Linked DNA regions of Oryctolagus cuniculus. The protein of the gene in region 2 purifies or fractionates together with the protein of the main gene of each other region. This does not show direct contact. Links are inferred from orthologs where the notes say so. Each region holds a gene or a part of one and is shown on either strand. Other genes may lie near its edges.

Region 1 (4,262 bases), on a different chromosome or scaffold from region 2:
ACTGAACTTGGTGTGGGAGGCACAGCCAAAAAGCAGCCAGTTTCTTGGGCTCTCCTGGTGGGGAAGAAGCCAACTGTTGCAGCCCCCCCGGTCAGGACGGTTCCCCAACCCCTCTCCCTGCCACTGCGGCAGCTTAGGGTACATCCAACGTGTCGAAGGCACAAGCATGGAGGATGGAGATGAAGACTCCTTCAGGATCCATCGCTCCTCTCAGCTGGCCCAGTCAAGACCCACCATCTGCCATCCTCTCAGGCCCGAGGTCCCCAGAGCCTCTCTTACAGCTCAGCTTAATCCTGTCACATCCACCCTACCAGGAGGGCCAGAAACAGCTCCCTAAGCAACCCAGAAACAGCAGAACAACCACATCACCCCTCCCGTCCCCATGCCTCAGTTTCCCCGAACAGAAATCAGGGACCCTGCGGCCTCCCAGGGTGGAAGCCTGCCTGCCTGCCTGCCGGGGAGTGTGGGCAGGCATGGAGTGGAGAGGAAGGGAGGCTGCAGATCCCTGAGGGGCCAGCCCAGGCGCCTGTGCTCAGAGGGAATGGAAGGGACCCTAGCCCCACCCTGGGGAGAGCAGCCGGACTCTGAGGGAAGGGGACACACAAACCTCCCAGTGGGGTAAACTGAGTCTCAGATGCTGGAGCTGGCAGGGGTGGAGGGCGCCAGGTCTCTGATGGTGGGCCTGGGGGACTCAATACCTGCATCTGGGAGGGGCAGCCCAGGGGATGGATGAATGCAGGCTCAGGTTTTGGTGAGGGACAGCGGGCCCTACTCCTAGGAAGGAACCTGGCAGAGCAGACTCTGCCTGGGGGGTGCAGACAAAAGCAATTTGTCAGAGCTACTTGGGGGTGGGGAGTGGGACTCAAGAGCCCAGGGTCTCTACCAGGCAGTACAGCCTGGGGAGGGCAGAAGTTCAGGGCTTTATCTGTCCCCTCCCTACACACCACCACCAGCCTAGGGCCCTGCTCTTCCCCGTGGCGCCACCCTGACCCCCTTCCTCAGTGCTGCTGGCTCGCCCCCGCTGGCACAGCAACACACATGCGGGAGGCACACGTGTGAGCACCAAGCCCGCAGCTCCCAGCAGGAACATGTGCGCCCCTCCCCCCGAAACCGCGCACGTGCGTCGGTGCGCTGGACCCCCAGGCTGGCCCTCACGTGAAGGCTGGAAAACCGGATCGTGGCTAGGGGACTGCTAGTCCCCAGGGTCTTGGGGCCTCCTCCCCCACCCCGCAGCAGCCCCGCCCAGCCCCCTCCGGGTTGTCGCCCAGAAAGAACTCTCCGTTGTCATGGAAATTAGTGACTGCTAAGCGGGAGGGAGGGGACCCGGGGGCAGTTGGGAGGGGCCGGAGCGGCTCAGGGAGCGGGGAGGGACGGCTCGGCTCATGGCCCCTACCCTCACGGGGCACCACGAATCTTCGAGGGTTAAATGTTATTACAATCGGAGCCGCAGAGGCTTCCCCTGGGGCCCTGGAGCCGTCCGAGGCAATGAGGAACTTTAGCCCGACCCCGCACGCCGCCCCCGGGATCTGCAGAGCCCGCGCGTTCTGCCCCCGCGGGGACTTCGAACCCTCGCAGCTCCCCCGCGCACTCTGCGCCCAGAACCTGGAGCCGGGGGAACAATTCCCCAAAATCCCACAGCATGCATCCAGGAGGCACCCCCCCACCCCACCCCAGCCCGGCCGGGCCCGCCTCGCACCTGCAGCGCCGGTTGGTCACAGGGAGGAAAGGATCGCGGGCTCAGCAGGGCGCCGAGGGGTCCGTGGGCGGCGGGCAGAATCCGCTCCGGGCACGCGGGGCAGACGCGGCGCCAGCTGCAGCCGCTTTGGCTCACGAACCTCCAGCATCGCCAGTCGCTCGCCCGCACCGGATTCGCACCCTGGGCCGGGGGCGGGCTGGGGGCGGGGCCTCTCAGCCGGCCCCGCCCCGACCCTGGAGGAGCCGGAGGCTGGAGTCCCACTCGAGGGCAGGCGCCCACTGGCTAGCCTCAGAGCTGGTGAACGTTGGCCTGCCCAGCCCCAGCCAGGCTCTCAACAGCTCCCTTAGCCCCTTGGACTCCTGGCGCCCAGGGCCGGGGTCGGGGGTGGTGGGAATGGGGAGAAAGCCTTAGTCTTGGAGCTGCACTTAAATCTTGGCAGGCAGTAATCTGGGGGAGTGGGGGTTTCGGAGGGTTCCTGACTCAAAGGGCAGGTCGCATGTAGAGGGACTGCATGGACAGTCACTGGGCAGTACACAGGGGCCTCCCCTGACGAGTGGTAAACACACGTGGTATATGCAAGTGGGCAGCATGTAACCCTGTATGGTAGCACAGCCTTCTATCTTCCTTACCCCCAACTCTTGCAAGCCAAAGTCTCCCAATCATAAGTCACAGGCAGGGGCAGGCGTTTGGCTCAGCACCTAAGTCACCCTTAAGATGCCAGCCTCTCATGTCCATCGCCTGGTTCAAGTCTCAGCTCTGCTTCAGGCCCAGCTTCCTGCTAGTGGACACCCTGGGAGACGGCAGATGGTGGCTCAAGTACTTTCCACACACGTGGGAGACCTGGACGGAGTTCCTGGCTCCTGGCTTCAGCCTGGCCCAGCCCTGGCTGTCGTGAGCATTTGGGGAGTGAACCAGCAGGTGGAAGGTCTCTCTCGCTCTCTCTGCCTTTCAAATGAACAAATTAAAAAAAGGTGCCTTGTCTGCCCTCTCTTTTGTGACACTGAATTTCCCAAACTATGAAAGTCACATATGATGTGACACAGACTGCTTTCCTCCCCATCTAATCACCCTCTAACACTTTAAGAACAGCAGCTTCCTAAGTGGCCTGGGCTACGGTACGGGAACACAGGAGAACTGTGGCACCACCATGCCTCACCAAGCCTGTCTCCTACCTGGAGGCTCAGATCTGCTGGGAGGAAAGTTTGAAGGATATCCTTGGCCATTGATCTGTCTTCTGCCAGGCAGGCGCTGGGTCCACTTGGGCCCAGTGCCTGCCCCAGTCTTCTCAAGCCTTGAGGACCATCCTTTGGTCAGAGTCCAAAGGCCGGACTTGGCTCTTTCGATGTCTGGAGCTGGGCTCGTCCTTTCCTGTCGCTCCCCCTCTTCGTGGAGGAGCAACACAGGACCCTGCGCTGTTCTTTCGTCTGCTCGGCCCTCCCCGGGTTTTCTGCTGGTTCTTCCCGGGTTGGCTACTATCCCTTCCACCTCCGTGGAAGGGCAGTTCCCCCTGGCCACATTCCCCACTTCCGCAGGGGAGCGGCACTCCGCCGGCCGGTTCTCTCGGGGGCTGCACGGGTTCCCTTAGATGTTCCCCATAAATGTTCCCCGGTGCATGCCGTTTCTCTCCTCCTTTATAGTCCTCCTCCGCCAATCCCAACTCGGCTGCCCACACGCCGAGTACGCTGCTCTCCAATCAGGAGCAAGTCCTACAGTTAATTGGTTGAACTGGAGGCAGCTGTGCGGAAGCTGTTTACTTCTCTCCCAGCGCCATATTGTGGGAGAGCAGATGCATAGAATAAGCCTTAATTCCAGTAACAGTCTAGTCCGGTTTGCTCCCCACACTTTCCAACCCCACCCAGTGAGCCTTTTGCCTCTGCCTTGGGATGAGAAGAAACAGGGTCATTCCCAAACCCTCCTCTTTGCAGAGTGATGTTCCCCTGCATGGCGACACACGGCTGCTGATGGAGGGACCATCCAGGGAAGAAGCTGGTCCTGAGGCTGGAAGGCTAGCCTGGGAAGTGGCTGCCCCAACAAGGCCACTCAAAGCCTTCCTCCAGAGGGACAGTGAGAAGCCCCCTTCACAGCCTTCCTTGGCTTTGGGTCATCTCCTCCGGGCCAGGTTGTGTCTGCCTTGGGGCAGCGTGGGCTCTGGGTGATCTTGATCACAGCACCAACCCCGTGGCTGGATAGGAACCTCATCTCACCACGCTCAGCTAACGTCTGCAGAATGAATGAGTGGCCTGGCGCTCAGCCCTCCCTGCCAAGTGCCCACTGTTCTGAAAACAATGGGTCTGTGAGTTGTATGGCACAGCCAAGCCATGGTTTGCTGACCCCACACAGGACACACACATTTTCTTTCCTGAGAGTCATGCTATCCAGGCAGTGGGGCTGAGGAGAAGCTGAGATGGGGACGGAAAGGCAGGGGGAAGGGGTGGCTCACTGGAGCCCTGCTTGCTGCTGGCAGTACTCCACCTCTTCTGGGTTCCGTGCACACTCTGTGCACGTGGGTGAGAGCACATGGTAGGGTGTGCATGCACACGTGTATGTGTGTGTGCTCTCTTACACT
Region 2 (4,253 bases):
CTTTTGCTGTCTTCTTCCTATTACAGTGGCTCATAGTTGAAAACAAAATTAAAGGTAAAACAGCAAAAGGAAATATTCGGTACAGGTAAGTGCCCAGCCAAGGTGCCCTCACACTTCCACCTCCTCCTCAGGCATCACTCTTCCCAGTCACTTCCCTCCTACACAGCAAGGCCCTCATTTAAGCCACAGAGCTCCTCTGCCATCTCTCCTTCCCCATAATGTGAGCTATGGTATGCCATCTATTCGTTCTTCAGTTAAGCTTCAGGAGAGATTTGGAGCACAGGCTCAAAGGTAAATCAGTCTGTGAGACTGTCAGAGATTGGCTTCCAGAAAGTCTCCTGCAATTCTTTGGAATTTATGGTCTTCAGCGTGGTTTGCAAAAGCAGGCATCTGTCTCAACATTGCCATCAGCTATCCTATAAAGGTTGTAAACTTCAAAATTCCCTGGTAGCCTTCCCATAACTGTACCCAAACACACAGAGGATGATACACTCAGATTTCCTCCGGCCAGTCCAGAAGTGAATCTGGTAATAAGCAGCCTCACTGATGGGCTCTTTGGTTTTGATTTACAGACACCATGGAACACTTAGAAATCAAACCCACATCATCCTCGAGGGCAGACATTCATTAGCAACGGGGAGTTGTACATTTGATCGAAAATGTACAAAATGTATAACAGTGACATTTTCAATATGAGGCCACATGATTTATTCAGTAGTTTTTATGTTCCCAAATTACAATTTTTGTCTATTCATAAGACTACAAAAGTTACCATTAGAATTGTCTGTGCTTATAAAATACCAACTTTTTTTTTAAACTGTTATATATACTCATTTAACACCAGTCTGCGACGAGTTACATAGAATCATAGGCACTTCAAAGGCTTAAAAAGATGTTTACAACTTAAATGCATTTTTTAGAACAAAAACTGGTTTTTTCTTTAAACCCCTACTCGTACCTTCAAATTGCAAGAAATTAACAAATACAGTGGCCAAAGAAATCTGCAGCAACTTCTCAAAATACTGTTAGCATCTTTGGATTTGCTGAGTAACTCCCATCCAATCCTCCCAAGAGAAGATCTGATTGGACAGATGTGACTAAACAGTTTTGTAGTAATAATCCAATTTTACACATTAACTTGCTCTTGCAAATCTGCCTGAAGCTACAGGTAATGAAAAATAAAGCAAGTGTAAAATGGACAGTCTGACACTGAAAAATTTACACAAAGTGGAAGTTAAAGTTTACATATTTGAAAATCACATATACACTAAATTACCATTATCTGAATTCTCCAAAGACAAATTGCACCATGACAGCTACAAAAGGCATAGGATTTGGTTTTGGTTTTAAGGGGACAGAGGGCAGGGCAGAGGAAAAGAGGGGGACAACAGATAAATTAACAAAATAAGACCCACTTGGTAAGGTCAATCCCAGACATGCTGACACAAACAAAAACAGCTCTCATCTTCAATCCATAGTATAAAAACAATCTTTTCATATTTGCACATAAAAGTTTAAACCAATTTCATGGACATCGAAGGTTTTCATAACATAATATTTTGCCACTGCTATTCACAGAACACTGCAGATGTTAAATTTTAATTTTATGTTGTTCTAAAGAAATACATGAAAAGTTTTAAATACAATGGGATTTTATCATTAAAGTGCCAGAATGGCTCTTTAATGAAAATAAAAACAAAAACAAAAAAACAAAGATCTTCATTATTCTATGCAAAAGCTTTATTTTGAAAAGTTCAGTGATCTCACAAATAGAGACACTAAGTGGAAGTTTTATGCATAAAACTCCTTAGTAGGTGCCTTCTGATAAGCAGCACTGGATGGTTTGCGTTCTCCAAGGTCATAGCTGCCTTCATCCTTCTTTCTCATGCGATACACCAACAGCAGGATAAGGAAGATTGCAAAGAGAAAGCCGATGACTCCCCCGGCAATGACAGCTGAAACATGCCAGAAGAAAGATTGCTTTTAGAAGAGATTCAAGGCTGCAGAACTTTACTTTGTCAAGCCCAATCTATTTACACTTTTATAAAAGGCTTAATTTGAAAATCTAAACTTTTTTAAAAACTGGATTCAGTAAAGTAACCAGGTAATTATGCAAATCTGACACTCCTCAGGAAGGTACAATACTTTCTTTGATTAGTATTAGTATTACCCAAAAGCTTCAATAAGAAAAATCTGCCTGTGACCTCAACTAATCCCGCACTTAAAATGCCGTCATCTTCTCAGTATTCACATTTCATATTTCCATCACCCCACTGCTTTTTCAGTGAAACACAACACAGGATATCATTGACTCAAAAGTTTTAAGTGTAAAGATGAAAAAAGCATGGAAATTCTTTCTAGTCTGGCTTCTGAGTCTATCCTTCCAAGGATTAGGTATTGCTTTATCTTGCAAATATTCCCCTTTGAAACCTAGTGTTAGTACTTATGCAGGCTACATATAGAGTCAACATTCTTAACACTTTGGGTTGTATTTCTGTCAACCACCTCCCACTTGTGCCCTCCACTCCCGAAGACCTTTATCTTTCTCTTTATTTTGAAATCAGGATGACCTGAAGCAAGACTGACTGGTCTTCATATCCTGCCAACCTGCCATGCCCTGCTGTTCTGCACCATTCAGTTCTTAACTTTCCTCTTTGTGACTTCCCACTCTCCACTCCTACCCAATGGGTGATGCTGCTGGTAGAAGACAAACAGGATGCTTGCCAAATCTTTCACCATGCAATAAAGGGCTCTCAAGACTGCATTCAGCAGGAAGGTGCCACTCAGCAAGCTTGGCCGCCCCTCTGAACATCACTTACTCAGCCTGTCCCCAGATGGCCACCAGCCACTCACCTGCAAGGACTTCTGTTCGTTTAAACAGATTGTCTGAGTGTTTCTCGGTGAACACGTTTGTGCCCTCTTCAGCTGGGTCCATTTTCCTTTCTGAGTCAGAGAGGTGAACTTTTTCCTTATCAATTTCTTCCGGTGACTGGGATGGGAGAAAGAGAAACATTATATCAATTTTTAAGCATATGCTGGAAAGAAAGGGCTACCAGAAGACTAGATTCTGGAGATCCCTTTCTTCCAGTCATGCACTTAGGAAGTCACTGGAATAATCACTTCATTGATGTTTACTCCAACGTGTGAGTTCCAAGGTGGATTCAAGGAGCCATGGATTTGCACGACACCCATCACATGAACAGGCAAGATGGACGGCCAGTGATTTTTATCATAATTCCAATGACATTGTTTGGTTGACATCTCCTATGATCTCTAGTTTCTTGCCACTCCTCTGACTTCAGGCTAGCGTCTCCCTTTGGCTGCTTTAATCCAATTGCATGGTGCTAATTTTCCTTACTCCTTCATGTCTTTGCTCCCCACAGCAGTGTGATGATAGTTCCTGTAGAGGCCCCCTCAGTCTTATTCTGTAAAGGTTTACACTACTTAGTCCTGTACCTTCAGTGAAGCCTGGACAAGAACTTCAGGGGGACCTGGGCTCTCCATGTAGCTCTTGTGGGACTCTGACCAAACCATTCTACTTTTCTGCACCAGTTTCCTCATCTGAATAATTAAGGACATTCTCAGGCTTTTGGAAGTTCCACAATACAAAACTATAAATCTATGTAACTCTCACAGCCTCATCTCCAGTCAGCCTTTACTCCTACCTGGCCAGCAGCCCACAAGACATTTACCCTCAGCTGTATCACTTTTCACCCTACATGTCAAATCTAAAAAGTAATTTCTCAATCAGATCAGCTCTCTTTTCTAGTTCCATTAATGGGACCATATTTGAGGGGGTGGGGGAACTAATTATTCTCTAGCACATTTCATATTTTATGTTTTCCCATATCAATTTAAGAGAGTCTCTATTCTCTTAAATTTCTCCCTTGGAGTCTATTTCTTTTTCTGTTCTTTTTTTTTTTTAAGAATTATTTTTTCCAAAGTGAGTTTTAAGAAAGAGAGAGAGAGAGAGATCTTCCATTGGCTGGTTCACTCCCCAAACGGTTGCAATGGCCAGGGCAGGGCCAGGCTGAAGCCAGGAGCTTCATCCGGGTCTCCCACATGGGTGAAGAGGCCGAAGGACTTTGGGCCATCTTCTGCTGCTTTCCCAGGTGCATGAGCAGCACTCCCCACAAATTCCCTCCCACCCATGCTCCAACTCTTCCTCCACCTTCCTCTCGAATTCCTACTCCTAATTTTTACAATGATCTTTTTTTTATAGTATACTTAATAGTCATATGGTTAATGCTACC

The links.
Region 1: the proteins of SDC2 (region 2) and CAMKV purify together in Homo sapiens (affinity purification with mass spectrometry; 3 studies listed by BioGRID and IntAct, counting the BioPlex papers as one, with this or other methods). This does not show direct contact. The link is inferred for Oryctolagus cuniculus from reciprocal best matches to the Homo sapiens genes SDC2 and CAMKV.

The regions. Positions count from the first base shown.
Region 1 is NC_091441.1:99,387,117-99,391,378, reverse strand, and holds the start of CAMKV (caM kinase-like vesicle-associated protein), read right to left. Parts: upstream 3,016-4,262; 5' UTR 2,869-3,015; intron 1,914-2,868; exon of another isoform or gene 1,697-1,913; intron 1-1,696. UniProt on the Homo sapiens protein: Does not appear to have detectable kinase activity.
Region 2 is NC_091437.1:122,168,857-122,173,109, reverse strand, and holds the end of SDC2 (syndecan-2), read right to left. Parts: intron 2,990-4,253; coding exon 2,854-2,989; intron 1,956-2,853; coding exon 1,792-1,955; 3' UTR 685-1,791; downstream 1-684. UniProt on the Homo sapiens protein: Cell surface proteoglycan which regulates dendritic arbor morphogenesis.